Drosophila melanogaster: one gene and its partners. The protein of the gene in region 1 interacts with the protein of each later gene in a pairwise test. Each region holds a gene or a part of one and is shown on either strand. Other genes may lie near its edges. The genes, in order: CG6479, IM18, Def and CG17841.

The links.
Region 2: the proteins of CG6479 (region 1) and IM18 interact in a two-hybrid assay, tested with the Drosophila melanogaster proteins (one large-scale study listed by BioGRID).
Region 3: the proteins of CG6479 (region 1) and Def interact in a two-hybrid assay, tested with the Drosophila melanogaster proteins (one large-scale study listed by BioGRID).
Region 4: the proteins of CG6479 (region 1) and CG17841 interact in a two-hybrid assay, tested with the Drosophila melanogaster proteins (one large-scale study listed by BioGRID).

Annotation. Positions count from the first base shown.
Region 1 is NT_037436.4:17,335,305-17,343,682, forward strand, and holds CG6479 (uncharacterized protein), read right to left. Parts: upstream 3,959-8,378; 5' UTR 3,876-3,958; coding exon 3,853-3,875; intron 3,833-3,852; exon of another isoform or gene 3,808-3,832; coding exon of another isoform or gene 3,797-3,807; coding exon 3,492-3,796; intron 3,433-3,491; coding exon 2,825-3,432; intron 2,769-2,824; coding exon 2,439-2,768; intron 2,380-2,438; coding exon 2,017-2,379; 3' UTR 1,868-2,016; downstream 1-1,867. Other genes in the region: CG13727 (uncharacterized protein), read right to left, coding at 4,975-5,489, 5,619-6,012; brv2 (brivido-2), read right to left, coding at 6,875-7,454, 7,537-8,255, 8,313-8,378.
Region 2 is NT_033778.4:23,600,344-23,607,452, forward strand, and holds IM18 (immune induced molecule 18), read right to left. Parts: upstream 1,431-7,109; 5' UTR 1,390-1,430; coding exon of another isoform or gene 1,331-1,389; intron 1,278-1,330; coding exon of another isoform or gene 1,208-1,277; intron 1,140-1,207; coding exon of another isoform or gene 933-1,139; 5' UTR 827-932; coding exon 611-826; 3' UTR 571-610; downstream 1-570. Other genes in the region: CG42559 (uncharacterized protein), read right to left, coding at 1-37, 96-206, 262-344; CG10332 (uncharacterized protein), read right to left, coding at 933-1,139, 1,208-1,277, 1,331-1,389; CG43209 (uncharacterized protein), read right to left, coding at 1,666-1,857, 1,914-1,980, 2,031-2,092; Eglp1 (entomoglyceroporin 1), read left to right, coding at 2,374-2,501, 2,557-2,959, 3,024-3,209; Eglp2 (entomoglyceroporin 2), read right to left, coding at 3,492-3,713, 4,050-4,608; Eglp3 (entomoglyceroporin 3), read right to left, coding at 5,415-5,633, 5,698-6,291.
Region 3 is NT_033778.4:10,051,826-10,058,525, forward strand, and holds Def (defensin), read right to left. Parts: upstream 2,752-6,700; 5' UTR 2,743-2,751; coding exon 2,464-2,742; 3' UTR 2,353-2,463; downstream 1-2,352. Other genes in the region: sel (seele), read right to left, coding at 1-61; magu, read left to right, coding at 5,444-5,518. UniProt on the Drosophila melanogaster protein: Responsible for the anti Gram-positive activity of immune hemolymph. Expressed in the absence of immune challenge during metamorphosis.
Region 4 is NC_004354.4:10,365,121-10,373,507, reverse strand, and holds the start of CG17841 (uncharacterized protein), read right to left. Parts: upstream 5,457-8,387; 5' UTR 5,153-5,456; coding exon 4,749-5,152; intron 1,792-4,748; exon of another isoform or gene 1,584-1,791; coding exon of another isoform or gene 1-1,583. Other genes in the region: CG32686 (uncharacterized protein), read left to right, coding at 1-1,583; CG32679 (uncharacterized protein), read left to right, coding at 6,047-6,178, 6,311-6,690, 6,746-6,998; l(1)G0289 (lethal (1) G0289), read left to right, coding at 7,297-7,384.

The DNA of each region.
Region 1 (8,378 bases):
ATTTGGTTGACCAGGCCAACGAATCCAGTTTGGTGGCTAAGTGAGTGCCTGGCCAGCGGGCGGAGGTGGAATAATAAAATCATTTTAATAGTTTCGCTGCCTGCAGTTTTACCGGGCTTTATGCAGCTCAATGAAATTAAAATGAACTGTCATTAAAAGTGGCTCCTTTGATATGTTCAACGATTTTCTTGTCATCAATTCAAATAGTTGCAGCTCTTTGGTGGCCACTTTAATGAAGTTAATGGGTATTTAAATTTCCTGGGCTTAAGCCAACTTGAACCTGATTAATTATACTTAAAAGTGCCTTCAGTATTTAAACAGAGTATAATATTTATTATTATGCCTATTATATATTTATTTATTTATATATAAACTATACTAGGCATTAGGTCAATATTCTTTAACATTATACCTAATGCCCTACTTATGTCTTTGGTCTTATAATAAATGCCATGGATTTACTCAACATGTCTTGAATCAGAACATCTATATCCGTTTACATATTTACTTTAAATACAAAATGTTCACATCCAACTGAATAGCAATGGCCATTGAGTGTTCACACCTTCCGCCACTTTTCCTTTCTTCAGCTGACAAGTGCTCCACTTACACTTTTCCTCTTTGCCCGTGCCACGCCCCAAAGACGTCCTCGTCTCAAGGATAGTTAAGCTGCTTCAAAGCAATATTAGATGAAAATTTGTGTAAGCCGTAAAGAAAAAGCCCATTCAACGAGAGTGTGAGACGATTGCCAATCGAATTTAATGCGCATTTATTTTTAAAGTGCCATCAGCTGGGAACACACAATCCGCCCAGCCACCACCCATCAAAGAAGGCTTCTTTTGTCAACAGCAGGGTATTAGGAGGAGAATCCGCCCGAAACCCAGCCACCACCCACTCGGGAGCAACCCAGCGAGCCGCACTAATCAACACAATTACGAAGCAGTCGAAGGAAAACTTTTCTAATTGGATATGAAGACGCGCACATGCGTTTCTTTAAAGGAATTTTACTCAAGCAGGCGAGGGTCCAAATATTGTGACAAGAAAATGGCTCGGCACAAGGAGATACTAACGTTCCACGCTCCAAGTTCCAACTCCAATTCCCATCTTAGGCATCGCGTCTCCCGACTCCGCGGCTGAAATGCTTTGACAAATTATTTTTAAGCCAATTTACAACTTGAGAAAAAGTATCAGGAAAACATATCACTCCACACACACACACACACACACACACACACACAGGGTGTGTGGTTCGCTTCGGTTCGGTTGGGTGGCTGAGTGTGTGTGTTTGTGTAGGTAAAGCAAATATAATGCGAGGGATAAAAGTGTAAAGTTGACAACCCAGGCACATTACTCACCCGAGGTGCCAGCCATCCAGCCATCCGGGCATCCGGGAGTATGGGCGGCATTAAAATAACCAGCCAACCGATTCAACGTCAAGCCAGAGCCCAGAAATGAGCATGGCCAAGAGAAATGGTAATGTGACTGGTCGAGAGGGCCCAGGTCCTGCTCGTCCTGGCGCCTGCTTTAGGGGTCTCCGTTTGCGACTCCTTCATTTTGCACTACTTTGGAGCATTTTCTCAATGTCTCTCACTCGACAAAATGTCGACAGCGTCGGCGGAAACCATTAATTTTGTCACTTTCGGAAGTGCAAAGTGGCGAGCATGTGGGAGCATGTCGCTGGCCGAGCCAATGGCCAGGTCACCAACTGGCTGGTCAATAGTGAGAATCATGAAAGGGCAATTAAAGTCGGGCACCTGTGTGCACATATCCGCGAATATAGCTTACCGCCGACTGCCAAACAAGTTAATTGCACAGACCGCAGGCCACACGACACTTGATAACCGCGAAACCACAACAGTCGTAAGTTGGCTTAATAATTACAAATGTATAATTTCATAGTAACGAATGATGAGGATTGTCCAGTCACCAAACGCTAGTCGAGTCACAAAGGATCATGCTTAGAAGTAAGGAGTGATTAGGGGTGGGATTAAAAGTCATAGCCACTAGTTCCACTGTTCAGTCTTCGATGACGCACATGATGTTGATACCACTTTTGCCAAGATTTACGCACTCCAGAGCAGAGTCCTGGTGCTGTCGCATATAAATTAGGAACTGTATGATAACGTAGAACAGGTTATTCCTATCGTAGACGCAGTTGTGTAGTTCTTTGTCGCTGATAAAGTTAAATTTAGGGTTAAGTGGGTTGCCGGTACTTAAAATGGCGCAGTGGGCCTTGTTGTGAACTGCGTTCACCACGTCCTTGGTCGAGCTCTTCTCGTCGCGAATTAACACGTAGCGGGAGTGAAAGGGTCGTCCGCCGCCCTGCGGCAACGGCATCAACTGGCTATCCAAGTACACGCAAAATAAATGGAATATTATCTGCAGAATGAGGTTACAATTAATCAAGAGTGCTCAGTTGCGGAATTTCGTATACTCACAGCTGCATCGGTGGGCAAATGCTCGTCCCGCTGCTGACCGTTGTGTGTTTTGCCCGAGTACCAGCGGTAGTCAGCTATGCAAGAGCCCTGCGCAAGCTCCTTGATGCGCTGCACCAGGTATTCCTGGTTGCTGAAGGTGTCCAGGAAAGGTAAGAGCATGGGCAACATGGGCGCACACGTCTGCACGAACTGCTGGTTCTCGGCTGTTTTGCGTAATCTCTCTACACTCACAGATCCAATTTTAATGTCAATCAGAGCTCGCTGGCGGAAAACATCGTCCACATAATTGATCTCTTTGACCAAACGCTGAAGTATGGTCGTAGAAATCCACTAGAAAATGGTAAGACATTAGTACGTTGCAGTGGAATATTGAACGGGATGCTTACAAATCTTAGGTTGGCCACATATTGCGACAGTTTGTCCGTGGATATGCGCTTGATGACCTCCGAATTGCTGTCCCTAAACTGAATACCGCCAAACTCCTCAATCGAGGTGGGAGCATTTTCCGTAGAAACAGCCGGAGGTGGCGATAGTTGATAGATGGTGGTCTTGAGCATATAGGCCGCATTGTTGCAGTAGTTCCAGAAGGAGTTGGCCGATCCCATGCTCTGCACATTGGGTGTATCCGAGCTGTCCATCATGCTGCGCTCCCGATCCGCCTGCTTCATTAGACTGGTCAACTTTCGTGTATCGGTCATGAAGTCATCGCGTCGCACCTCCGCATACGGGGACATATAGGTAGACTCGTTGCTCAGATTGCTGGCATTCAGCGAGTTGTTTCGAACCATCGAGGAGTTGTAAGAGGTGTTTTGTTTCGTCTGCTGCGGCGTCCTTGTGGGACTGGGGCTGCGGCGCATGGATTGCGAGCCCCAGCAGGAGTCCTCGAAGGAGGAGTGCCAGTTGATGATGGGTATGTCGTCCTCTATATCGCTATCCGGTTCGTAGCTGCGTGGTTTCATCACGGCTCGGGAGCAAACTGTACGAAAAGAGTTCTCTATAGGAATAAAAGTGGTTAAGTGGATGCGTTAGAACGGGTTCCTTTGGATTCCTCACCTGCCTTGCCATCAAGCAGCCACTTTTGGATATCGCTACCCGTAACTTGGTCACCACCAAACCATAACCACAAATACTTGCCGAAGCAGGCGAGTGCACTTAGGCCAATCAGGGTCGTAATGGTGCACTCCGCCAGGAACCAGTAGGTCCTGTAGGCGGACCGACATGCCTGCCAGAGGTCGAAGAGGAGTAGCGACAGCAGCACCACATTTATGGAGCACCACTTGAGGTAATGCCGCGCTTGGGCGCCCTGCAATCGCAAGTCCAGGCTGCGCTGCACCACTGGGTTTTTACTCAGCGGCGAGCTGAGGAGCATTCATGGGTTAATTTTCTGAATTCTACACTAGTTTCTGTCACTTACCAATTAGTCCGTGTAAAATTCATTGCCTACTATGTGATAATTATTAGAAAATCACCTGAATAGGTCGAAAATGCCGGGAAAACTTGTTTGTAAGTGATAGCACAGACAAAAAGTTAGAATACCACAAGGTCAAAAAATAAATACCGTTTGGAATGAAACGCGTTATGTACTTTGTTGGCTCAAGATACCTTAGCGGAGACACTTTCCCTAGCGAAGACACACACCTATCGGCGATGTTTTCTTTGGTATGGATCAATATCCATGATATCATATTTTTTAATAGAACTAAAATTATTTTTATGATTTTTAAAATGATTTTTTGTTTATCCGAATGTTTAAAGCTATTCACCCACTCTAAACGTATTACTTATCAGCAACTTTTAATTTATCATTTAAATGCAGTGTTTTATAATATTTTTTAGAGTAGTTATAAAATTAGCTGTTTTTTAAACAAATTTTTTCTCTATCTTCAATATATTATGACATAAGCCGTACAAAACCGAAGACTCAACAATTTTGCAACATTTATGAGGACGCTAAAAAATTCCTTAATTTAATTTAATTTAGTTTGTTTTTAATGATATAAAATAACTTTTAATTTATTTCATTCCCTAAGTAAATTGTATATAATTGTGTACACATGCAACTAAATGTGTATTCTCAATAACTTAAAAATATTTTAAAATAAATATTTATAAAATATAACTTTTTTGTTTAAAAATTATACATTCCTTAGCGCACTGGGATGACTGGGGCTCGTCCGGGAATTGAACCCGGGACCTCTCGCACCCGAAGCGAGAATCATACCTCTAGACCAACGAGCCGGTTTGAACCTCAGTCGACTAATTACGCAATCTAATGTAAAAAAAAAACTTACATATAGCCATTACAAAAGGTTCCACAAGTCACTTAAAATTACGTTATCTTATTCTCTCCATATAGACAACTAATTATTAGGCTCTCGTAGCATTAGACCCTTAATTTAAATTATTTAAATTATTAAAATTATTTAAATGCCATCACTGACTTTAAATAAAAAACACGCTTGTAACTATATGATATATTAAAAATAATATCTTATATATTGTTTCCTGATTTAATACATTTTCGAGAGGACGGTACTTAGATAGAGCTATTCAGTTTTGCATCAGTATTCCCTGATCGTAAAGCCCGCTTCACTGCCCTTCTTCTCCTTCTTCGTTTGCCAACGACTGTAGGTCCGACACCCACTCCCACACCGATCCCCGGAACAGGAGCTAGTTGCAGCAGGAGAGGATTACTGACCAGGGCGGCGGCGATGCCCAGAACGGTGGCACTGGCCAGCGGAATCAGGAAGCTTTTGGCCAGCAAGGCCTTTGGTGAGATCTCTGGCGATCCCTTGTGGGAGACTATCTCGTGGGAGTCGATGGGGTAGGAGCTGTAGGAGTAATCCACTGCTGGCCCCGGGTAGTGGCCATGTTCGGGTCGAGGTCGATAAACGTGGTATGGCACCCCTGCCTCTCCGCTGGAGGAGTAGGTGTGCCCAGGAGCAGGTCCTGGCTCATAGCCATGTCCGTTGGATGGTCCGTAGTCATACTGATAAGGTTGACTGTCATAGGCGTAACTTTTGCCAGCACTTCCACTGCTGCCATAATGCCCTTAAATAGTATTAAATATATTTTTAATGAAATCTACAATAAACAACAGTCATCAATTTCAAATATTAATCATTTTAAGTTTGAGTTTATCTTTGTAGAATATATAGATTGAGTAATCTTTGAACTCACCCACGCTTATTCGATCGTGTATATTCCCACCTAGTTTCCACTTATCATAGGCCTGGCTAAGGTTATCATTTAGGTCACTAGCTTGGGAGCCATGAGCTCCTCCAAAAGGCGGCAGCGCACCAATGGGCTTGGATATGAAGCCAGCTGCAGTGCTATCCAACTTGGATGACGATGAGCCCGGTCCGCGGTAGAACTCCGGGGGAGGATCGTAGCTCTTGGCTACTGCGGAGCCCACGGGGTCCAGTTTCACGATAGCCTGTCGTTTCCGCGGCTGCATGGGCTGCCAGGACTCTGATTCCTTGGACGCGTTCTGTGCGGATGCGTGCGCTATGGTTAGAAGGAGACCGAGGCAAAGGCCAAAGGCCAAAAGTAACTTCCCTTGGGACGCGAACATGTTAACTGAGTGCGACGCCTGCAGACCGGCGGATTTTATATGGGTCCCGGTGTCGCCATGTCGTCATCTGGAGTGGGTGCCATTACAAGCGCTGGCGACAAATTGCAGTCCGACAATTTCAAACCGTCGCCGCTTGGCTGCTGGCATTGAGACGTCTGCAGTGCGTTTCGGGAGCGATTAGTGCCGCCAGCTTGGAGCCCCTTCAAGATTTGGCCACGCGGCTCTTTCCACACTCTTTCATCAGGCATTATATCAGGCGGAGGCAGCAACGAGCATGTAGTTGCCAATTTGTGCCTCTCTTGGATTATTGAAATAAAGCGTGCGCACCCAGAAATCCATAGCCCCCGCGACAGGTGAGCACCCAGAAATTAGTGGAGTTATTCGCGCCCTCGGCAAAAGAAAACAAAAGTCCCAATCTGTGTTTTAATTAAATCATTTATCGCTGCTTATTTCTAAAGTCGCGCTGCTCAGCGAAGGGGAATGATCGGTGGTGAAGTGAGGTCGCAGGGGGCCGGAAAAGTCACATTTAGTGCAATAGAAAGCACAACCTATAGAAAATGATGGAAAGTGTTGCTAGAACTGCTCTTTCTTTCTCTTACTAGAATATATGGTCATTATCATCCGATGAAAAAATTTAAATAATAATAACCTTTTAAACCCAATGCTTGTGTACTCAATTTTTATATCACTGGAAGCAGAGACTTTCTCAGACAATCAAAAACCAAGTTGATGTCTTTCTTAGACTGGAACGCATTTATTAATGCCGTGCGGCATAAAACAAAGTAGTTAATAATACATAGCAAAGTTCGTGAATATGAAAAGCCTTTGTGGTTATCAACTTGCCATTCGATCACGGCGATCATCAACGGCGCTTCCGATACATTTCCGGCATGTCGTCGGGATCGGAGTCGGATGCAGGTGGTGTGGGCAGTTTGCCATCTTTGTCGCCCAATACCATTCGCTCGAGGATCTCAACCTGGAGGTTCAGGATAGCCATCAGCTTGAACAACTTCTCTCCGCGCAAACGGTAGTCGGCACTTCGCTGCTCTTCCGTCAGGAGTGCCCTTTTCAACTCCTGCGGGCTCTTTATGAGGTCCCTTTTGAACTTAATCAGTTCCCGCCTATTTAGCTCTAGTTCCACATTCTCGGCAACAGTATGTCCACGGGATTCGTACGTCTTTCGCAGGCATCGAAAGGCATCGCCAAAAAGATCCGCATACTCCACGTGCAGAAATTCCAGGAAGGTGATAGACGACCGATTCGAATGCTCCTTTAGGATCCTGCTCGTCTCGTTGAAGTAGTCATAGATAACGGAGGCGAAGACGTTCATCAAGATAATCGCCAGGAGGAAGACCAGTGCTAGGTAGAGCAAGATCCCTAGAATACGACCTCCGTGGAAGAAATCCGCAGGATGAATGTCACCGTTAAAACCCATTGAGTACCTGGATAAATTAGATTAGTTCATGGTTGAACCTAATGACTTGATAGCTAGCAAATAGAGTTGCCATGTTTAGGGATACGCACCACATGCAGGTGACCACGGACTGAACCATGTGACTGAAGACCACTGCGTTGTTTCCATTCGGCACCGCCAAAGTAATGCCAATGGCCATGAGGACTACCAGAATAATTACACCCAGACTGGCCACTGCCCGCCAGGCAGAGAAGAGGGTCTGCGTGAAGTGCTGGAAGACGGAGGCAAACTGGAGCACCTTCCACAGCCGCAGAGTGGTGATGCACACCAGGAAGCCCTTCACGATGAACAGCATTTGGTGGAGGCGCAGTGGACGCTGGAAGTCGAGATACTGCCCCTTGGTGGCCGTCTCGATAATCTGCAGCAGGGCATCCGTCTCGATGTCGCGCATTATTGCCAGAACGGTCAGGAAGACGTTCAGTATATATATGGCCAGATCCACCATAGTCCAAGCCTCGTGGGCGGCGGCCGGATGGTGCCAGATCTTCGTGAACACACCGCGGGCGAACAAGATGACCAAGACTGTGTACACGAACAGTATGAGAAGCTCAGAGTTGCTTCTCGTCTCCACATTTCCCAGCATTGACACAGAATCCACATGCACACGGGGCAACTGGATCCCGAATGGGCTGTTCTCCACACGCAGAGTGATCAACGTGAAAAGGTTGGCATCGGCGTTGTACATCGTCAAGTCGATAAACAAAGCCGAAGTATTTTTATCCAGCCAGCTGTAGTCTCTCAGGTATTCGATCTGCTTCAAGCAGTTTATCTAGCAGCATTTAAAATTTAAAAAATATTTAAGAGTATCTCCTAGTGTTATCCAAACCTTTGTGCTCATCATGAGCACTACGTAGCCGGCCACTTCCGGGTAGTTGAGCAAATAGCCATAATG
Region 2 (7,109 bases), on another chromosome or scaffold:
TCTGCCCTTCTCGGAAAATTTGTCAGTGAATTGACGTCTATCATATGTAAAAAAAAAATTATTTTTACGGGTCATTTGAATAATAAAATACTTACTTAGCAGGAAATTCGTTTAAATTATTATTCGACCTTGGGTGGAAAATGTTTCTACCGTGGTAAAAGTTTCTATGCCTTGGTAAATTTCTGTGCAACTCATTGGAAGGCCAACTAATATTTAGAAGATTTACAAATAAAGTTTGGATAAATTTCCAGTACTACATACCAAACTCTTTCTTGACATAGCACCTGAGGTTGAAATAGCCTGTTGCACGATGCCGAGCCTAAGATTCGTGCAACAGGAAACATGGCTTCTTAAGTTTAGGATAGAACGAAATCAGTGTGGCAGAAATACATTTTACAAGTCTGAAAGTACAATGTGGATATTTGACGTACGGTCAAAAGCAACTACTTCGATATGAAATTTAGAATTTGCAATAAATTTAGAAATAATTATTACGCATTTTATAAATAGTAAGCAGATGTGTATCAAGGCCATTTCATAAGTAAGATAAGGAAACTGGGCGATTAATTTAGTTTAGGCGTTTCAAATCTTTATTGTTTCATTCTTTACGTCAGGCGTACATAGTCTTCGATGGTTTCCCAATCGGAGCGTCGTAGTACAGTGGTCGTTGCTGTGAGCTTGGAGACCTGAACGGATTTCCGGACCCAGCTCCAGATCCCGATCCGTTTCCTGGTCCAGTGTGGCGAGATGGCGAGGCGACGCCGGGAGCAGCTAGGAAGCCCAGGAGGCCCAAAAGGAGCAGGCAGCACAATGCGATCAGCTTCATGGTTGGCAATCTCAAGTGAATCTGAATGCCGACCTCCGGCAATAGCTTGTTTTTATACGCTGCACTCGTATGCCCTTGGGATTGGGAAGCACCCGGGGGGATTTTGCTATTCGCTGAAATCACCGACTTTGGGTGATTTCTTATCAGCTGGGGGGCGTCGATCAGATTTTCTCTCCTTCCTCTCGCGATTGGAATTCACCTTCACATCGAACTCCATGCCACGGATGCAGCGGGTCAGGTCGGTTAGATTGGCCTCGACGCGCTTTTGCTTGAGTGCCAGCTCATGGGATTGCAGATCCAAGATTCCGCGTTCCTGACGATGGGATTTGATTAGATGGCGCTCGATTTTTGTATCATCTATCTTGAAAGGTAACAACTTACTGTTTGCAGATCCTCCAGTTTTAGTTGATTTTCTATGCGACTCTGATCGGGCAGGACAACCAGATAACTTCTATATATCAAAATGTTATGATTGAATATGTATAATCACAGAATGCAACCTACCTGATGGTGCAGCCTCTGAAGCGGCTGAGAATAGATCTGATTATTGGGTTAATGTCCATGCTTACGAAAATGAAAACAGCTAATTTTGATTATCTCTAAAAGTTTGAAAGTAATTGCAAAGTGTTGAAGATACTTCAAACTGGCAAACTGCTGATATGGAGCTGAAATTCTGCATATAACCACATTTTATAGTTATCTCATTCTTCGCTATGCCAAAAACTATGCTACGCATTCTTGCTGTCCCATAGGTGGCGCGTTGGTTACGCATGTCAAATGTAAAATTACCATCGCCCTTGCCAGTACAAACAAGTTGTTGCAATCATTTAGTTTTATGTTTATTTATTCATTCTTATGTTTCGGAGGGCTTGTTTCAACTCTTTGAGCACTAATATAAGTTTACCCCTCGCAGTCTTCGCCTCGGACGACTTACTTTTCTCAAGGGCTTTGATTTGCATTTCAAGTGACTCGATTTGTGCGGTCAGTTCCATGATCCTTGCCTCTTTTCCCTTGTTCCCCTGCAAATGTTTCTTGGAGGTAAACGTTCTTTATGAGTCATTGAAATGTTTAGTTAGGAGATACTCACAACATGATACGTGTCGATACCGCCACTGCCTCCTTTGTCAAAAAGATCGCTAAACGGTCGTCTCTTGCTGCATGGAAATTGTGGATTTAAGGGAACTCACATTGCGGACGTACTTACCATAGAAACATGGTATCTCTTGTCTTTAAAAAAGTAAGAATCTTATAAGCCCCCCGAAACATACTTTAAGCTCTGCGTCAAATTTGTGTACTTATGCTTTTTTCGTTAATAAGTTTCTCCACGCCAACTAGGTGAGGCAAAAACACATTCAAAAATGGCTAACAAATGATCCAAGTAAACCTAACCCCTCTTGCTTTGCGAATATATTTGTTAAACATTTCCAATATACGAATTCGGTAGGAGAATCAATACTCAGACATACATAGTTAGTCAGTGATCATTTAGTTAGTTAGTTTTTTCCTTAAATTGTCTGTGATACATTACATATTACGGATAATTCACGATGATCTGGGACTTCTTTACCTTTATACGCGGAGCCACCGAGTTCAGTGCCACTGCGCTACTGATTTTGCTCGGTTGCATGGGAGACTCAACGAACCAAGGTGGTGAGAGCAAATTCTTGGTGGCCAGGTGATGCTTAGTGAGATTTCTATAATAGAATATTGTTAAATACTCTATCGTATAGCGTTCACTATGGCCTGACGGTGATGGTGGTGATGCACGTGTTTGGCTTCGTATCCGGAGCCCATTCGAATCCATGCATCTCGATCTCATGCTACTTGATGGGCTACATCGCCCTGGAAGTGATGATGATGTACGTGGTGTGTCAGATGGCCGGTGCTTTCCTTGGTTACTTCCTGCTAATGCAACTGCTGCCCAAGGAGCTGGTGGACAAAAGCAAGCCAGGCATTTGCCTGGTACAACCGATGGACACTCTGTCCACATACCAGGTCGTCATCATCGAGTGCCTGCTGACCGCGGTCCTCGTGCTCGGATGGTGCTCCTTGTGGGACGTGCGAAACGGAAGGTTCCTCGACTCGGTCGCCATTCGCATGGGTCTCCTCGTGATCGCTTGCAGTTTCGCAGGGGTGAGTTGAAAGGCTTTGGATTTTGTATCTATAGATACTATAGCTATATATGCATTTATTGCAGATTCAACTAACTGGAGCCAGTATGAACCCCGCCAAGACATTGGTGCCTGCCATATTCTACGGCAGTCCGAATTCGGTTCTAATGCAGCTGACTGGCCAGATCCTGGCCGCCATCATGGTGCCCTTCGTGTGGAATCATGCGTATACGCCACCTTATAAGCCCTTGGAAATTCCAGTGTGCAACTGAGCTGTGACAATAAACATAAGCTCGACGTTTTTGGCTACCGTGTGGCTTATTTGATCAAGTGTATGAGCAATTAAATATTAACGATAAGCAGTTCGCCGTGGCGTAAAAATAATCTGGCTTAGATAAGCATAGCATTTACATTAGATTAAATATATAGTCGTCAGGCGTTGGAAATTATTTAAGCTATTTATTTGCACGCTTCGCAACTTAAAACTATCCGCTCTCTCCGCTCTCACGAACACGAACTTAAACGATAACTTGTCCTATGTGTAGTAAATCCATTTAGGCGAGCTCCGCCTCCGAGGTCCTCTTGGTTGACATCGTCGTCTCGTCCACCTCCGATTCCTCCAGCTCCCGCCGGAAGGCGTGCTTGTAGATCACCGAGGTGATCAGGGCAGCCGCCATGGGACCCACCCAGTAGATCCAGTGGTCATCCCAGAATCCGTTCCAAATGGCCGGAGCAAAGGATCGGACTGGATTCATACTAGCCCCAGTCAGTTGTCCCTGTTGGGGGATTTACAATTGTTTATTAAGAACATTTTTTTGATACCTATTGATTGCATTTCATGGGATGGCTAAAATGTCTATATTAAAAGTGTATATATGCCATTTAAAGAAAGGTTATCATCGATACCGAGAAAGTCAAGTGCATTTGCCTGATAAATTGAAAACAGATAGTGAATGGAATTTTAGCATAGCGGATCGTCAATTTGATATTTCTTAAGAGCAGACAGTCTTATCTGTATCGGTATTACTTGGACAAACAGACATTAAGGTGGATTACAAAATAAGATATATCTAATACTGTATCTGAATTATTCCGAACAATAATCAACTTACCGCTGTGAGCGACAGGCATGCGATGGCCAGACCAAATCGCACTGGCAGCGAGTCCTGCTTGGTGGCATTGCGGGGATCCCAGACGCCGCAGCACACGGAGATGAGGACGCAGGTGATCAGGAACTCCACGGCCAGTCCCTGCCATGGGGTCAAGGTGCTGTTGAGCGAGGTGAGGCAGACGCCATTGGGGTTCTCAGCGCTGTAGATGGCGCTCTCCGGGAGCACCGCCTTCAGCAGGCCGTAGCCAATGAAGGCGCCCACCATCTGGGCCACAAAATAGGCCAAAGCCATCGGCAGGGAGATCATGTTGTAGACGTAGGTGGCCAGGGTGACGGCGGGATTCAGGTGGGCGCCACACACGCAACCGAAGCACTGGATGCAGATTAGCACCACGAATCCGAAGTTCAGGGCGCTCTGGAAGTCCGAGTTGGTGAACACGGAGTTCTCCACACTGCCCATGCATCCGAGGAACATCAGCATAGCGGTGGCTATCATCTCGGCAAGAACTGTTGTGATGCTGTCCAGCTGGCGGCGCTGCAGCAGCCAGCAGTTGGATTGGCTGCGAAATAGAGAGGAGTATTCCATTTTAGTATTCTTGTGGGTTTCATTGTGTTTAAATTTTTTTGAGTCACTCTTCGAGGATATTTTAGATTTTGATTTTAAGACTTGGAACTTGGTGGATCACCTTGCGGTTGTAGCCATGATTTACGTGCGTCGCGACGAGCGATTGACTTTAACGGAGACGTGGTCCGACGTGGACTGCACTCCAGACCAAGTACTCAATGGTGCGAATCGCATACTCTATCGCCGGCTCTTAATCGCCGGCAATCTCGTCTAATCGCCTTAGGTGGGTTATCAGCCAGCGTTTCTATATACTCATATCTACCCAACTATTGCCAAACATTCGCGTTGGTGTGCTCCATTCACTCGAGTGCGTATGTCCACTTTATGACGTTTTAAGGCAATTCAAAATGTGACAAGGCACTAAGTTAGTGTCCCACTAGAAAGGGGGCTATAAGCCATCTAATCAATATGATTTAAGCCGCCTGTTGTAATGGTTGAAACGCAGAACATTTCATTCGCTATCAAGCTGAGCAATTCTAAAAGGGGCTACTTATCAATGGCCATTGATAATGATTTTCAAAGACCTATGGACCTATTGATATATATGACAAACTCGACAAACTTTCCAGCGAATACGAGCCCCCAAAAAAATGGCCAATATCGCCGCTCATCCCAATTGTATGCTATGGAAATAATACAAGGTGGTGCTTAATTACTTAATCGACCTAAATATTTTGTGGCTCTATTATTACAACATATTCGTATATATATATAGTTTATTCGATAAGATTCAATTCACACCTATTGCACTATAACCTCTCCGATCATTCGTATCTTGGCATCGGAAGTCCTCAGATCGATCTCCTCGTCGCCCTTAAAGGCCATGCGATAGATCAGCGAGGTCACAGCTCCTGCCACCAAAGGACCCACCCAGTAGATCCAGTGGTGTGCCCAGGAGTCGTTCCAAACAGCTGGACCCAGTGATCTGGTCGGATTCATGCTGGCTCCCGTGAAGAGACCCTAAAAGCAACAGACTTCCCATTAAGTAACACTTCGCAACTTTGAAACGCACCGAAATACCAACCGCTGTGAGGATCAGACAGGAGACGGTGAGACCGAATCTCACGGGCACCGAATCCTGCAGCTTGGCGTTCCGTGGATCCCACACCGAACAGGCCACCATGACCAGGCAGCAGGTAATGAGGAACTCGATGAAGACCCCCTGAAGTACGCTGATTCCGGGGGCCAGAATTGTCACACAAACACCCGACGGGTTGTCCACACCCTTGATGGAGTTCCCAGGCAGAACAGCCACCAGGAGACCATAGCCTATCAGGGCTCCGGCAGCCTGGGCCACAAAGTAAGCAATGGCCCGGATCCAACCGATTGCGCCGTAGAGCCAGGCAGCCAGGGTGATGGCCGGATTTAAGTGGGCACCGGAAACGGAGCCGAAGCACTGGATGGCGATGAGAATGGCCAGGCCGAAGGTGAGGCCACTGCGAAAGTGCGAATTCTGGAACAGCGGCGTTTCCACACAGCCCATGCAGGCTATGAAAACGAAGACGGCAGTCGCCGCCAGTTCACCGAAGAAGCAGGCTATCGCACTCCTTTGGTGTCCTTCCAGGCGCCACCTGGCGTTCGGATTGGACTCCTGCGATTTTTGCTTCTGTTGCGACATGCTGACGGAACTCTACTGCCGCAATTTTGGGCGGCTGCCCAAGTGACCCAACGTGCCAGCAAAATTTACGGCAATCAATCAAAATCCATTATAAAACCTTAATGCTAATTATCGAGCGCAGATTTGGGAGCAGCTCCCGCCCACCCATTCAGGATGGATCAATCCATCAAGGCGATTTTCGGGGGGCTTTGCTCAGCCGTAATTATCGGCCTGATAAGCGCCACTGCCATTTCGCCCGATTTGTGCTCAATCTTATCTCATTAAGATCTTTATCGAACGGCGAACGGGGTCGCCGAGACCTGGCCAATACTCGTACTTCTTGTGTGCCAGCCAGTGTCTGAATCGCTACAACAAGGCCAATAAACCTGGCCTATGGTGTTCGAAAGCTACTCGAAGGAATCACCCCGTGATTTCCAGAAATTCCAGAAGAGTGATGCAAATCCAGCATTAGCATATCACCCATAGCACATAGTCCCCTTTAAACCACATAGAACCACATATATCATTTGTGCTTCGTATACGGACTATAGACCCGAATGGAGTACGTAACGTACAATAACTGCATATTGTTGGTATATTTTGGCTTTATTTGGCTGATACGCGCGTCTCATTCGCAGCCTGCTGATAACGTTTTTTAGCCACCATTTGATTGGTCGATTTGGAGGTACTAAGATATTCGAATATCTTATGAACAGATTTTCCAAAGACCGCTTAAGCTGATGGGCTTTTTTCACTTTCGATTCCTGGAAAAAGCTTATTGGTATTTTTAAGCCCGGAAGTTACTTAGAGCTAATCAAAGCAAATACCTCGTTATTGAA
Region 3 (6,700 bases), on another chromosome or scaffold:
TGAAGCTGTAACCTTGGGCCAAGGCCAGCAGGCCGAACAGGATAAGCGCCTTCGTCAGCATCTTTTTAATTGATTGTTTAATAGTTTAACGCGTGGAAACTAATTGCATTAACCACGTCAGCAGAAGCGCCTTCCGTTTAAAAGTGCGGCGTTGATAAAGACGTGTGCTGTATTTACGACGACTTAAGAGCGACGTGGTTCTTGATGCTCTGCAGCGATAAGTGAAGAATTCTACTTAATTTATGCCCAAGATGTGGTGACGAGGGACGCGGTCAGTGGGTCTGGGTCAGCGTTCACAAGAATTGTGGTAAACGTTTTAAAGAAACCTTATTGATAATACCCGGCTATCGATAGAACTTTTCTAGCTAACGCCAGTTTTGGCTATCAAATATTTTTAAGGTGACCATCTCTACCTATTTTAAGCTAAAAATGAAATATGTGTACTTGTCGTTAAGAGATTTAATTTGATGATTCACATAAAATGATGTCGTTTAACATTTGTAAATCGTTTGAACAAAAAAAATATCGATAGTCAAGTGCGCGCGTTAATTCAAATCTTGATCGTAGCACGATGCACGTTGAAATGTTTAAGTTTGGGGGAGAGCTGCATTATATACATATGTGCATCTCAATTCTCGTATTCTCTTAGCTCTAGATCGAAAACTTATGTACATTAGCCGATGTGCTACTATATAGTGAGCCGATAACTGAAGAGTCAGTGCAAATGGAGAATCGCTCGCGAGTGGTTGCTCTGTTTTCGGATCGAGATGTGAGGACGAGGGGTTCGCGTAATTAACCGGCAAAGCGTTTGTAAATTAAAAGAAACCCACAAGTCGGCCGCGTTCCTCGATTTCTACATACTCTTATTAACCATTATAATTGGCGTTAATTAAGTGTCGTGTTTCTCTCTCGGCGCGTGTTTCTCTTCCCTATTCCCCTTGTTCGCTTGCACTGATGATCATTTTTCTTGGCGTCTGTTTGTTTGCTCGGTTAATTGATAAGAACGAATTGTAGTCGTCGGACTTGCCGTATTTATAGAGCAATGCCGCAAAAGAAACGGAAATGCAATGCAAATTGTTGCTATACCTTTTAGCGTAGGTTCAATTTTTTGACCCTGCCAAACGGAAAGTGGCATTCGCGGGCTACGAGATAAGCGATCGATGATAATTTATTCAGCTATGAATGAGTTCGAGAAGCACCGCAATCTTAAATAGAAAACACATAGATTTAATGTGGATTTTATTTAAAAATATATAGAAAAATATATATCTCCTTATTAAAATCAAGTGCAACGGCACAAACCTTTAACACAAACACCTTTAAAGCCCTTCTTCGAACAGAGGGAATTGCACCGCTCAATGCAGGACTGTCGCCTTGGGCGGACATGTTCCTTCGCATCCTGGATAAGACTCCTTTGAAGCTCCTTTTGCAGAAGTCTATTCTCGGAATCCTTCGGAATAGATCGAACCTGCATTAAGCAAACCGCAACTAGAGTTAGCGCCAGAATAATCGTGATCTTCATGTTGTGATATGAAATCGAGAACTGTTCCAGCTCGTTCAGGTTGCATTCGTGTTTTATAGTAAATTGAAAGGCTGCCGGTTTATGATAATGAGTATTTTTGTCGTAAGAATAGAAAATATTATTGTTTCTTTTCAAAGTTATGCGGAATAAAGTATATGCGAAAGCTGTTTCCGTTTGTTGCTCAGTTAGAAACTGACTAATTATGCCGTTATATGACATTGTATGTTTGGAAACTACAGCAAAAGCTTTATGTAACCAAATTATATTAAAGTACAACGCAAACAATCGATGGGAGAAATTATACAAATTTAAAAAGAATTTCAAATTTGTATTGCTTTTTTAAGTAAAGTTTACTGAGCTTAATATTTCTTTATTAAAATCTGCCTTGAATCGCCATGAAGACCAATAACTGCTCCCGTTAAGAGCTTTTTTAAACAAAGTAAATATATACGTATATATTTGGTATATATAGATCGTGCTCCTCGGGACCTCAATTTTTTTTTTAGCTCGATTAGGTTTAGTTAACTTATATGGTAAGTCGCTAACGCTAATGACCGATATTTTGTTGTACGAATTGGTAATGATAAACGCAGATTATTTTCACAGACTAAGACTAAGGAACATACACAAGGAATAATTAAGTCGTTCTTCTATGACTTTGAAAGTTATAAAGCCAAAGAAATATAAAATATTTTGAAAATTTTCTGTGATCAATATTTATTATTAAAATAGTAGCTTAACTATTAAGAAATTTTTACAGTCCCAGTTCCTTCTTACCAATTATTTCCATAAAAAGTAATTAGTAATAATTACAAATCATTATAATATTTAAATATCTGTCGATTAAAAGGATCCATTTATATATAGAATTTTTCAACGTTTTGTTTTATGTGTGACACTTAAAAAACGAAAATTTTTGGTGTACACAGAGCGAAACGAAATCAATTGCGGCAAACGCAGACGGCCTTGTCGTTGCAGTAGCCGCCTTTGAACCCCTTGGCAATGCAGTGGCCGGCGCAGGCGGTGTGGTTCCAGTTCCACTTGGAGAGTAGGTCGCATGTGGCTCGCTTCTGGCGGCTATGCTGCAGCACCTCCTGGTGGGCATCCTCATGCACCAGGACATGATCCTCTGGAATTGGATCCACATCGGAAACTGGCTGAGCCTGCGCCACGCAAGCAAGCAGAGCAAAAGCGATAGCCACGAGAACGAAGAACTTCATCTTGGAATACAACTGGAGAGATACTGTTGTTGCAGATTGTGGTTTCGCCGAGCTTATATAGCAATGCGACGGGCTGATCGATTCGGCCCAGGGACTCCCACCCGGTGACTTACCTTCCCATTGTCTCTTTTTCTGTGCAGGAAGACACGTCTCGGGGGTTTTTAATTTTTAAGTTCACTGCAAATGGGAGAAACCGTTGTCTAGATCATTATTTCATGTGCTTTGCCTGGAAAATATTGACAATATTTCATAGATAAGAGCAAAATACAGCCGACAGAGCCCGTTTCTGCAATAAGTTATTTGCATTTCTAGGGATTTTAACTGCCTTAAATTTTAGGCAGTAAAGTATATTCCACATGACAAGTTAATTGTAAAAAGCAACATCTACGAAATTAACCATTTCAAATTGTTTAGGCCTTACTTGAGAAAGAATCTTTGGTTTGCGAAATATGCAGGATATTTGTATATATGCAACGTTGATAAAAGCCTAAGTAAATATGTGCCCTTTAGTAGCATCCAATTTCGATTTTATTACTCCCAAACTGTTGAAATTAGCTGATGTAGGGGAATCCATATTTAATCATCTGAATTTCTAGCTAACTGACCGATTGGGTGCCACTTTAAGGGCTATACTCACAGCTACACAGCTACACAGTTGGCTCAAGCAACTGAGATACTCGGTTACGGATACATAAACACATGCGACAATAAATAATTTCTACCGAAAAGTCTCTTCATAATGCCGGGCAAATAAACAAACAAGAATCACACAATGATTAGTTGGGCATACAGCGGCAGGGGCGGGTGTACTTGTATCTGAATCCGTATCTGCGCGTACGTGTATCTATATCTGTATCGGCATCTGCATCTGGTTCTCAGCCCAGTCGCGCTGAGCCGACAATCCCGATCGAATCCCACGACCGAGGCTTTTTCAGTTGCCCTGCTCCTTGGCTGGCCGTTGCCTGTTTACCTTTGTTATCGACCAGGTTGTCTTGTCTTGCATTTTGGCGTCATACTGTCTGCCAGTCCACTCCACTTGAGTTTCTACCCCGCCCCTTACAACCGTCTACAGTCTAGAGTGTTGCCCGCATGCCCATCTTCACACGAGGAGAAAATATCGAATCTTTTGCGTTTCCACAGAGAGTCTTTAATATCAATACATGAGGATTTTTTTGTAATATGTAAAGGCTTATAGATAGGTGTACGCATCAGAACTGCATATGTACATCCCAAAATCCAAATCTATAGATCCCTCAATATTGTAGAAGATTTGGAGTTAGCTAGAGTTGCTACTTCTGGACGAAGGTACTATTTACAAGTACAGGTATATTTTCCCCAGTGCATGCTCGATCATCGAAGAAGACCACAAAACGGAGTGTGGCACAGCCGAAAACAAAGTGACGGCAGGAACGGGGGTGTTCGGGGTGTTGGGGTATATCAAGTAGTGGGCAAGAGGGGGCAGTTATCGCCGCCGTCAGACTGTCTGGCAGGTTTCACACCGAATCGAAGACGGAGACCGGCAACTCCACTTCGTCTCCGCCTCCGCCTCCTCCATCCACCTAAAATCCTCTCCAGGCGAACTCCTTGGCCAGCGGCTCTATAAATCACAGGAGCGGGGCCCTCGACGGCTCACGTTTTCCCCTGACCGCCTGCCCCTACCCCGACGTCCCTGCGCCCCTTGCCCCTGGCCCCTCCCCCGCTGGCTGAGCAGCTGGTGCAACTGTTGGCCGCTTTGTTTTAGAGGTTTTTTGTTGCTTTTGTTGGTGAGGCAACCTCTTGAGATGCACAAGGAAAGATAAATTTCACACGCATACACAAGTGCTGCTCTCTGTCTGCTGGTGTGTGAATGTGATCGTTTTTATGCTGCTACAGTAGAACATCCCTAAGTTATAAATTCATACATAAAATGCTGTTTTAATGCTGGTTTAGTTTTAGTGTACTAATAATGGGGTAGTGATAGTTAATTAGTCGTTCAAGCACACGTTTGGAATTACAGTCACAATATCTTCGTTCGGTACCGTTGACCTATGGTTTAACTGAGAGAGGCTCCACTGTGCTGTCCGTCCAGCCTCCACAAGTCGGAGTGTGGCAAAGATAAGATATTGGAAGCGACACGCCAGACACTCTGGCGGCGGCGATGTCCCTCGCTCTCTCCGCCGATCTCTCAGCTCGATTCCGATTCCGATTCCGAATCCGATTCTTCGCCCACTCTCACCTGGGGCCTCTCTCTTGCGTTTTGGGCCACTCCACTCCAAGGCAAATGGCCAGTCGTGTGTGGAACTCGGCTGCGATCGGTTGACTATTGAAGTGCGCTCTGCAGATTCGTTGTGATCCGTGCTCCTCGCTCCTCGCTTCCTGAACATTTTCGGACGGTTTTCCAATCGAAACGAACCAAAAATCGCACACATTAAGACGCATTATATAAACAGAAGATCCACAACACCTTAATGCACACGCACACACCTCTCTCACTATAAATAGACCACGGTAATCGGTAAATAAATAAATCGGAGAGCGGCAAAGTAAAAGTTCTAGGAAGAAAATCTAATTGCGACTTTGCGAAAAAGATGGTGAAATAAACGAAAAACTTTGATTATAATGAGAGAATCGTACTTGATGCAATAAACACGCGTATCAAACCAATCCCCCATCCTCCGAAGCACAGTAACAGTTAATTGACGAATTCGAACTGCTAAGTGAAATGTTGGCGAGATGTGTTTTGTTCGTCACTTGGCTGGCGGTTTTCATTGCGACTGGAAAAAGTGACGATCAGTTGGTAAGTTTACTTTCGAAAAATTGTTAACAAAATATTCCCCGAACAAACCAAAGTGAATTGGGTTAATCATGTGCAGTAAAATGTTTGCTGAATTTATACAGTTACTCATATTTAAGTTACAATATTACATTTTGAATAGAAGGTGTTAAATTAATATCATTATTCAGATTATTCAGCCGGCGAACATATTCCTCTCTAGAAGTTCTTACCTCTCAGAACTTTTTACATACATAGGTAGATGTATCTAGTAATCCAATTCATATATGAAGTTATATGATGATGACGGCAATCATTTGAAGTTGCATTTAGTCTTTTGTACAATTTGTACAAGTGCTTGTAAGCGGAGCCTGCCAAACTTTCTGCCAAGGCTACAAGCGATTACTTCGTAAATCCCGAGAAAACACTCCAATATTCCAGGTATCAAAGGTACCAAAAGTCAGCCAACAAAGAAGCTGCGCTCGTTCTTCTTCTCCCTGTCTTTCTCCAGCTTGTTCGCCGCCGCGCTGTCTGCCAAACTCCGAAAAGAGAGTCGCCGGCTCCTTCTTCTTCTTCTCTCTCCTCCTTTTTTTTTGTTTCTTCTCTTGTCTCCTCTTCTGATCGCCTCCTCCTTGGCCTGTCTTCAATCCCACACCTTGATTTTTGTTTTTGTTTCATCTGACCGACGAACGAACGTGTTTCTTATTCCTGCAGAAAAAAGAAAAAGAGCGCGAGGAGCTGCAAAAAGGAGAACACAAAATGATCACAAGTCAAAAGCGATTCTTTCCTGCGCGCTTGCTCCTCTTTATTTCTATACCCTTTAAAATTAAATCAAAATTTCGCTTACAATTGGTTGTGTCCACAAAGCGTAGGAATTCGCATTTGATTTAAGAAGAGAAGTTACCGATTTCGTTCTTATTCCTATTTGACATAAAACAGGCATAATAGAACTGAAGAATTCGCATTTCAGGCATTTATATGCAGTCGTATCTTTCGTGCTACTACTAAAGCGTATTCCAGATTCGACCTAAAAGGCTAGCAATCCTTTCTCATTCTCATTTAAATACCTTTTTTAGTCATTTTGCCAATGTCACTAAGCTGCCTGATGATGACAAAGTGTGAAGAAGTATTTAAAGTGTGGAGCTTGTTCTTCTGATTCTTCTCCGCCCATTGCAGCCTCCTCTTCGCCGCCTCGTTCTTCGAGCG
Region 4 (8,387 bases), on another chromosome or scaffold:
ACGAACCTACAAAGGATTCGTGGGTTATTCAACCAATAGAGCAACCAAACTCATCTACGATTAATCTGCACAAGAATGAAGTGACGAATCCTTATTTAGACGAATCAATTGAACATCCCAGGCAATATATAAACCAAAGAACGGTGAGAGCGGCAAGTCAGCAGAGAAATGAATCAAAGAGCCCATCTGTGAATCATATGATAAGCCTTCCAAGGGACTCAACTGGAGTTAATCATTCAATGAATCAGTATGTAATGCCGCCAAAGACTAGAAGGCACCCAATGAGGAATCCATCGAAAAGCTCTTTGCTTCCGAGGTCCAGAGAGTCGAAGGCAGGAATATCAAGGAATCCGTACATTGAAGAGAGCAAAACTTTATCGAGATTTCCAGCCCGGAGACCACCTTCCGTTTCGGTCAATAGACCGCGCCAGCCCTCGACATCCACTGGAATCCCTAAAGTTCTGCCTCCCCCAGAACCGCAAAAACCAGAATCTCCAATTGTTGGCAAGATCATTAGGAAGGAACAGCACAAAGTGCCTCGTACCATGGAAGACGGCATCGATATGAGCTACCAGTACTTCGTGTCTATTCCCCTAAAGCGTGGCAGGAAGCCACAGGTAGTTCGCTACCTTTACCGCCCAATGGTGCGTCAACTTAACGCTCCCACTTCGCCCAATCGACGCTCGAGGCGGGCAAGTAGAAAAGCAGCAGCGGCGGCAGCAGCTGCAGCGGCCAGCGAAGAAGAGCAGTTAAAGGCAGCGGAGGAGGGATCACCTAAGATAGATCCCGAGCTGAAAGCACTGGGCGGAGTGCCTGTGCCGCTGGAGGATCCACCGCAGGTTAAGGAGCCATCACCACAACCGGCAGTTAAGCCAAAGATATTCGTAGATCCCGAGGCAGTTCTAAATGGTCCGTACGAGGTGCCACCGCTCAAGCTGGATGCCCGCTACAAGTCGATGATGGAGCAGTTGGCCCAGATGCCATATCCCGAGGATCGATCATCTCGTGCTCGTCGTCGACGCTCCAATCGCCAAGCTCGCGCTGCCGGTGGCGCTGACCAGGTGCCTACATCGGTGCATAGCCTGGGCGTTGGAGACGGTGACGCGCCTAAAAGTGATATGAACTCCCTGCAGCAGGTGTCCTCCATATGGAAATCTGGTTCGCGTTTGCCAAAACCAGTCAACTATCAACCAGAACCTAAACGTCTGTGCACGGCTACCGGTGCTCCCATGTCATTTCATTCTCCGGTGCAATTCGGACACTCCGTGGCGGACTCGGACCACTTTATTCTGCCAGATGAGCCAATGATTCAGGCCATAACCTATGACGACATCGAACAGACGGAGCAAAAGCTACTGGATGAGAAGCCGGTTCAAAAGGAGGAGGAACGCAAAGAGGGAACAACCAAATCAGTGAGCTTTCATCCTGTCGAGGCAGAAGTAAGTGAGTTCCACTTGAGCAGCAGCTCCATCAGCATCAGCTTAACTTCGAGCAGCAACTGTGGCGTAACCAAGACCAAAACCTCTCGCCCCTCCAAGAAGAGGAAGTCCAAGTCCAAGGGAAGGGGCAAGTTGCGTAAGTGATAAGAGGTTTGCGCAATCTGGAGTTGACCACCAAGTATCCGGCATCGTGGACCACAAGCTAAACTAAGCAATTTCTATTGATCTCCATAGCATACATAGATGTGAAAAATCAATCCTTTTTTTAACCTTTACAAATTATACGTGATTTTGTAGGCTTTGAATAAACTACCACTCAATTATAAATGGTAACATAATACCAGCTAAGCACACTCCAGTTCAAGTTCTACATATCCATATACACTCACATAGGGTTTCCACGCAATGGCAATGACGATGACTTCACCACCAGGCGCACCTGCGAAAGGTCAAGGGTGGTGGAACCGGCCAAGGTCCTGCTGTGGCGATTGCTCAATGCCAGGATGTTGGTCATTAGCGCAGAACTGGCGCCACCAACTAATACGAAGCGATTGCCCAACCCCCCAAGTCGTAATGAAGCCGCTTGAAATAGACTCAAATTAGCTGAAGTGCTTCGATAATAATTGGTTAATGTTTTAATAGAACCAATACAGCTTTAATGGTCAATATTAAAAGAAATGTATAGCAATGTAATACTGGGGATTTAGTCCATAACTTTTGACATCATTTCTGCGACTACAATAGATGTTGACCCATTTGCCCACGCAATCAATTAGTCAAATGTGATTCCGCCGCCTAGTGCAAAGTGATCACTTAACCTTGGACGCACCCTGGAGCACTAGTAGCATTCTGGCACTGAATCGGTATCGGAATCAGAATCGGAATCAGAATCGGACTCGGCCTCAGGCCAACAGAACCGTTGCAAAGTCCCCCACATCGAATGTGGGCATTAGTTCCAATTAGAAGCGCAGCCGGTTCTACCTAATGAATGGTCCCAAAAGGTGTCACTGCGCCCCGCTACCGGCTGCGCATTTTACTATATAGTCGTCGGCTATATTATACCCACTATATATATACACATATGTATGTTACACATGCGAATCTATATGTATTCGCGTACAGGTGCTGTATAATATCTGGGTTGGGCCACGATAGGGCAATCGAATCGTATCGAATGTGATTTAGATATCGGTTACTGAGTCGCCATCAAAGCGCCACGAATGTCCACAATCCAAGCGAGCCAGCGGTAATGTAAATAAACAAATAGCCTCAACTATGTCCAATTAAGATTTATGACGAAAGTCAAGGGCTCGGGGAAATGGCGAGTAGTGGCGATGGAAAATTTTTTTTAAATAGTTCTACGTTGTTTGGTTGCTTGTTGTTGTTTGTTGTCATACCCAGTTTTTCCTCGCAATATTCTCGAGCTTTTCGAAAGCCTCCTTCTAAGCATCTAACGACAAGCCGCTTATCAATGCTAGATGCACTCACTCACCCAAATCGATTCGTTTCCCCGATAGCAGAAGCCAGAGCAGACAGACCCGGATAGATAGATAGATAGAGGACGGGCAGATAGGCGGGGCCAATCACTAGAGCCCCGGCTGATTGCCTTATCGCCCAGCGTGGAGGTGAAGTGCGTCTGTTGGACTTACAACGATCGTGGTGAATCAATTAGCCACCAGGAAATTGGGTCGTCTGGCAGGGTCTTTGATGATTAGATGCGTAACCCGGGTCATGCGGATACTAATAGATTCCATGCATACAATTTGAATAGCATAACTAAGGCAGTAAATTCTGTAGCTCAACTTAAATTGAGAAAGGGAAAAGTCTTTACAAATGGTAAAGAAGAGAACCCAAGATCTAGTATACACCTCATTGTGGAAGAAAGCATGTGATGAGCGCTTATCCAAGTCTACTGATAAAGCAGATTGAGCCAATTCCCGTCCAGAGATCGGGTTGTATAACACCTGTACAGCAATTGGGCACACATGGCGTTACCCATATAGACCGGCACTCTCTGTTTCATCATGACAAATGTGCATGTTTGTAATCGCAGTTGGCGGTGATGAGGGCAGGAGGGGAGTAGATACGAAATGAGAAGAGAGCGAAACTCAATTTAAGCGCGTTAAACAATTCTACACACAGTTTAATTAACACTTTGGACTGCGGGGGTAATAGTTAGGCAAGGGGCACTCCATAGTTGGGCAATTACTAATAAATGGCCGTTTTGTACGCTTGCATCAGATGAATTGAAAAGCTGTGAAATAATTTCACTCGCTCAAGCAAGGGAGAATAGATCACAAATGCCTTTTGCCAAATGGACAATTGAATTTCAGGATATATTTGTGCTTTGCGAAATTGGAGCATGTTTCACTGGCTAGTTAAATGCGTCGTCAAGTCGATGGATGCTTGTTCTCCACGCAATTATTCCGTTTCGAAACCCGACTCGCCTTGAGCCAAAACCCGTTCTATCCAACCGCCCACCGCCCACATCCCACGCCCGCCACGAGACCTTGACCCGCATGTCGCTGTGCTCGAGATGATGATATAAATCAGTGTCGGCTAAGGAACGCCATTGCCGAATGTCGGGGACACCAGCCAGCGTCCAGCCGAGCGCGCTCGATTCCATCTGTCTACACGTCGATGAGCAAGTGCCCTCCAAAATGCGTACTTAAAACTGGGCTAGGCACTCACTATTAACTCGCGCCCGCTAATAAATTGCCCAAGATAAGACTGAAGGTAGGGAGGGTAGCCACTTGGGTAGGTTTCCACTTCATAGTCTAACCTAATTAAGCTCCGCAGCGTAATGTCACTGGGTGAGTCATCGTCATGCTCGCCCAAAGACGTAAGGCGGGAATATGATTGATGGTGAGACTACCTGTTACTTGGGCCAACAATTACCTACGTAATCGATGACAGCATCTAGCTGTATCTTTAGCTATCTGAATTTCAACCCAAAAGTCTAACTAAGTCTGTGTGGAAATATGAGTAACATGAGAATTTAACTAAATCGCTCCAGTTGCACTCATGGTAATGATTTAGCCAACACAGAAGTGTCTATAATTATGAACTTATATAAGTATTAGAAACGCATAAATAGATTGCGTAGATCATGTGGTCGAGAAAAGGGCAACTATTGGCTGCCACAGAGTTATTTGGATGGAAAGCCCCCACCACCCGCCAATACCCCGTTCGGCTGCATAACGCAAGTGCAGTAAGTGCGTGTGTGGGTGGCAGTGCGGGAAAATCGATACTAATGTGCGTGCAAGACAGCCGCATCCGTGCATTGCGTGGGCGTCCACTCCTACTCACTTGTTGGTTATCTCCAGGACGTCGGACATCATCAGGCGGTACTTGCGACGAAAGCGCTGTCCATGCGTCGTCTCCAGCAGGTATTTGTTGCAGAAGTCCGTTAGCGAGACAAAATAGATGAATCCCAGCGAGGTGAGCACCAGGCCGCGCTGCAGCGAGATGCGGTCACTGCTGTTCGGTATCTGCCACAGGCTGCCGCAGGCCAGGCCCATCGAACCGATGGAGAAGGCCAGCGAGAAATAGCAGCCGCGTCCCGTTGCCTTGCCCGGCGTGCTGCCCGCCTCCTTGGCGCCAGCATCCTGACTCAATGGCTGCTGCTGTTGTTGCTGCTCCTCCGTACGGACGGCGGCGGTGGTTCCTCCTCCTCTGCCGTTGCCATTCGCCGGCTGTCGGCGCTGCTGCATCCTGGCGCGTATACGCACTCCACGCTCTGATCAAAGCTCGCACTAAAACCTTCTGTTGGCGAAGGCGACGCAACCTGTTGCGGAAACCGAGAAACGGATTCCGGACTCCTGACGCTGCTGCTACCGATGACTGCGGGCTGCGGACTTCACTCGGCGGTTGTTTACAGGCGGCACTGCGTCTGGGACATGGCGATTGGACGACTGGGCGATCGGGAGGAGCTGGAAGACTCGGCGGTGCGAGGGCTCATGGATTCGTGCGGATTCGTCGTCGCAACCAATCGGTGGCAATCGTTCTTCGATTGTGCGTGCCTATCGGCCGGTGTGGCCACACACCAAGCGCACTTTAAATACCAAACTTGATTTTGGGAGAGCACCCCTGATGAAATGCAAACTAATTCAAATTTGTAATATCAATTATCAAATTGAGCTCGGACTAATTTTGGGCATAGTAACGGCACTTATATATAGCTTAATATTTGCAAGACATAACTGCAGCGATAACGATAAGAATACCACTAGCCGTTGGTTTGTGTCACGGCTTTAGCCCATCACGGGGATTATATCTTGACATTTTGAAAAAGTCTTCGAAATTGTCTTTAATTATTTTGCAACATTTAAAAATACACAGCAGCATTCGAAGGGACTTACGGGATAAAACAAAACAAGTAACTAATATTTACTTATGGTCCGCACTGTACTCGAGCGTGCATTCATTCAATCAGCATATATGTATTAAATATGTTTTTTTTTTAATAAAGCACTTGTTTACTTCGTCGCAAAATCAAAAGACAGACTGCGGCCTAAATAAATACGTGCGTCGCTCCATTCATTGAACGTTATGTCTGTTTGCGAAATGTGTAGCAAATTTAGTAATTTTGCGTATATGAAACCAAAATGTCACGATCTCCCTGCTGGATTTTCCTTTTATATTTGGTCCTTATCATTTTCACTTTTACTTTCGCACAAAACTATTGCGATCCAGAACTGTGTCCCAGTGGAAGACACGTGGCCTGCCAAAACAGCGGTGTAAGTTGATGCACACGATGATAAATCTGCACAAATGAAGTTGAACTTCCATAGTTACGAAGGTTCAACTGTACCTGTTTCCAACGCTCTCACGTTCTATCCTGTCTAATCCTGTTCGTCGACTTTTTCTAGCGCTTTGTGAGCGGTTGCAGCGGCGAGTTTGTCCAAGTGGATGCCCACATCCCGCTGATTCTCCAGCTGCACAACGAACGCCGCAACCTGATCGCTGGCGGTGGAGTTAGTGGCTTCCCCAGTGCCGTCCAAATGGCCACAATGTCCTGGGACACGACACTGGCCCAACTGGCCGCCTACAATGCGCTGCAGTGCCGCATGGCGCACGACGAATGCCGCAACACGAACACGTATCGCTATGCCGGCCAGAATCTGAGCATTCTCTTCACCCGAAGTGTGGATGTGGCGGTCTTCCTGCGCCAACGGATCGCCGCCTGGTTCGATGAGAATCGGGATGCGACCAGTGGCGACATGGAGGACTATCAGATGCGCGGTGGACCGTAAGTACACCACCAAGCCGTAGCGAGTTTGGTAATCCCATTAACTCCTTTCCAGAGCAATTGGCCACTTCACCACCATGGTCAACGAGCGAAATAACCGAGTGGGTTGTGCGATTGCTCGATTTACGGACGCCAACAATGTGCAGGCCACCCTGCTGGCTTGCAACTACGCGGTCACCAATGTGGTGAATAACCCGGTTTACAGGGCGGGAACCGCTGCCTCGGAATGCACTACAGGACGAAACTCCAACTATCCGAATCTCTGCTCGCCCAACGAGGTGTACAACTATAATCAATGGTCGGGATAAGGGAATGTATGCTATTTAGCATAACATTTTCAAGCGTAAATGTGCTGAATTGTTTATTTTTATTTGTACTCGACTGCATTTCTGAATATATTTTACACGTATTTATCGAACATTTTTTAAAATTGGACACCCTATCGAATAGATCGAATTCTAAACGATAAGCGATATTTTATCGATTATTTCAGTTTATCTGGCCGCATCGTACCTATCGATTAAGCCTAGCATGGCGTACCATCTCTAGTTGCTCAGCATTCGTACTTTACTTTTCACTCGCAACGGCTGAAATAACGGTTGAACAATGGCGAAGAGTGTCGGTAGTGCGTGCGCGCAAATTGCGATCCTTTTGGCCATCACTTGCAGTGCATCGGAACTTGCGTCGGCCGTGTGTAAGTGAACTCGACAATGGGTGCTTCGCAGTTATTTGCTTATTTCTCCATCTCTTTTGTTTTACCCATCTCTGTCTTAATCCACCTTGTTGGTGTTGTGTGTGTGTGTGTGCGATTGTCTCTTTGCGTACGTGTGTGTGTGTGTCTCTGTCAATGTGCTTTTGCTTGTATGCGTGTGTGTGTGTGTTGGCTGTAAATCTGGTTGTTATTTTCTTGTACGCTACGCAGTTCGAATAAGACGAAAATTCCAATAAGACAGAGAAACAAACACCTGAGGAAAAGACAGCCCATCTATTTGCAGGGGCGGGCTATGCACACTTGGCGCGTAGTTTTCGTATTTTTTTTGGAAGGTGTATTCAATATATTTATGAACTGTTGTTTGTACACAAGGTTCACAGAAAATAAAAAGACAAATCATCATCGAGTGGACTTTTGTTGGCGAAGGGGGGGTAGTGGGATATTAGTTGGTACTTTTTCGTATGGTGAAATTTACCGCTGCCATGTTGTATATACTTCTTTTTTTTTCTACTGTTTTTTCGTGTGCTGGCACATCAAAATGCGTTAATTGACAACAACGAAAAGTGAGTGTGCGTGTGTCCATGTGTGTGTGTGTGTGTGCCAGAGCAGTTAAGTGTGAAAATAGGCAACGTCCTGTGGCCAAACAAGCCCACTTAAAAAAAAAAAATTGAAAATAAAGAAGAAGAAAAGGAAACCAACTCCCGCCACCTCAGACTTTGTATTATTTCGAGTTTTGTTTCGTGCGCGGCGTGCTCATTTGCGCCATGCTCCACTTAACGTGCAACAATTTCCCATCTGCGACATCGCCACCAGGCGAACAACCTGCATATATCAATTGAAATCGCTGATTGGGGCGCAAAAGCTCATTGTTTTTGTCGCAATTTGCAATTGAAACGCAAACGCTGGAGCAGCTAAATAATTTGTAACGTAGAAAACAGAAACAATGACGAAACAACAAGCTGGCAACTCGTTTGCCACCGTTCTT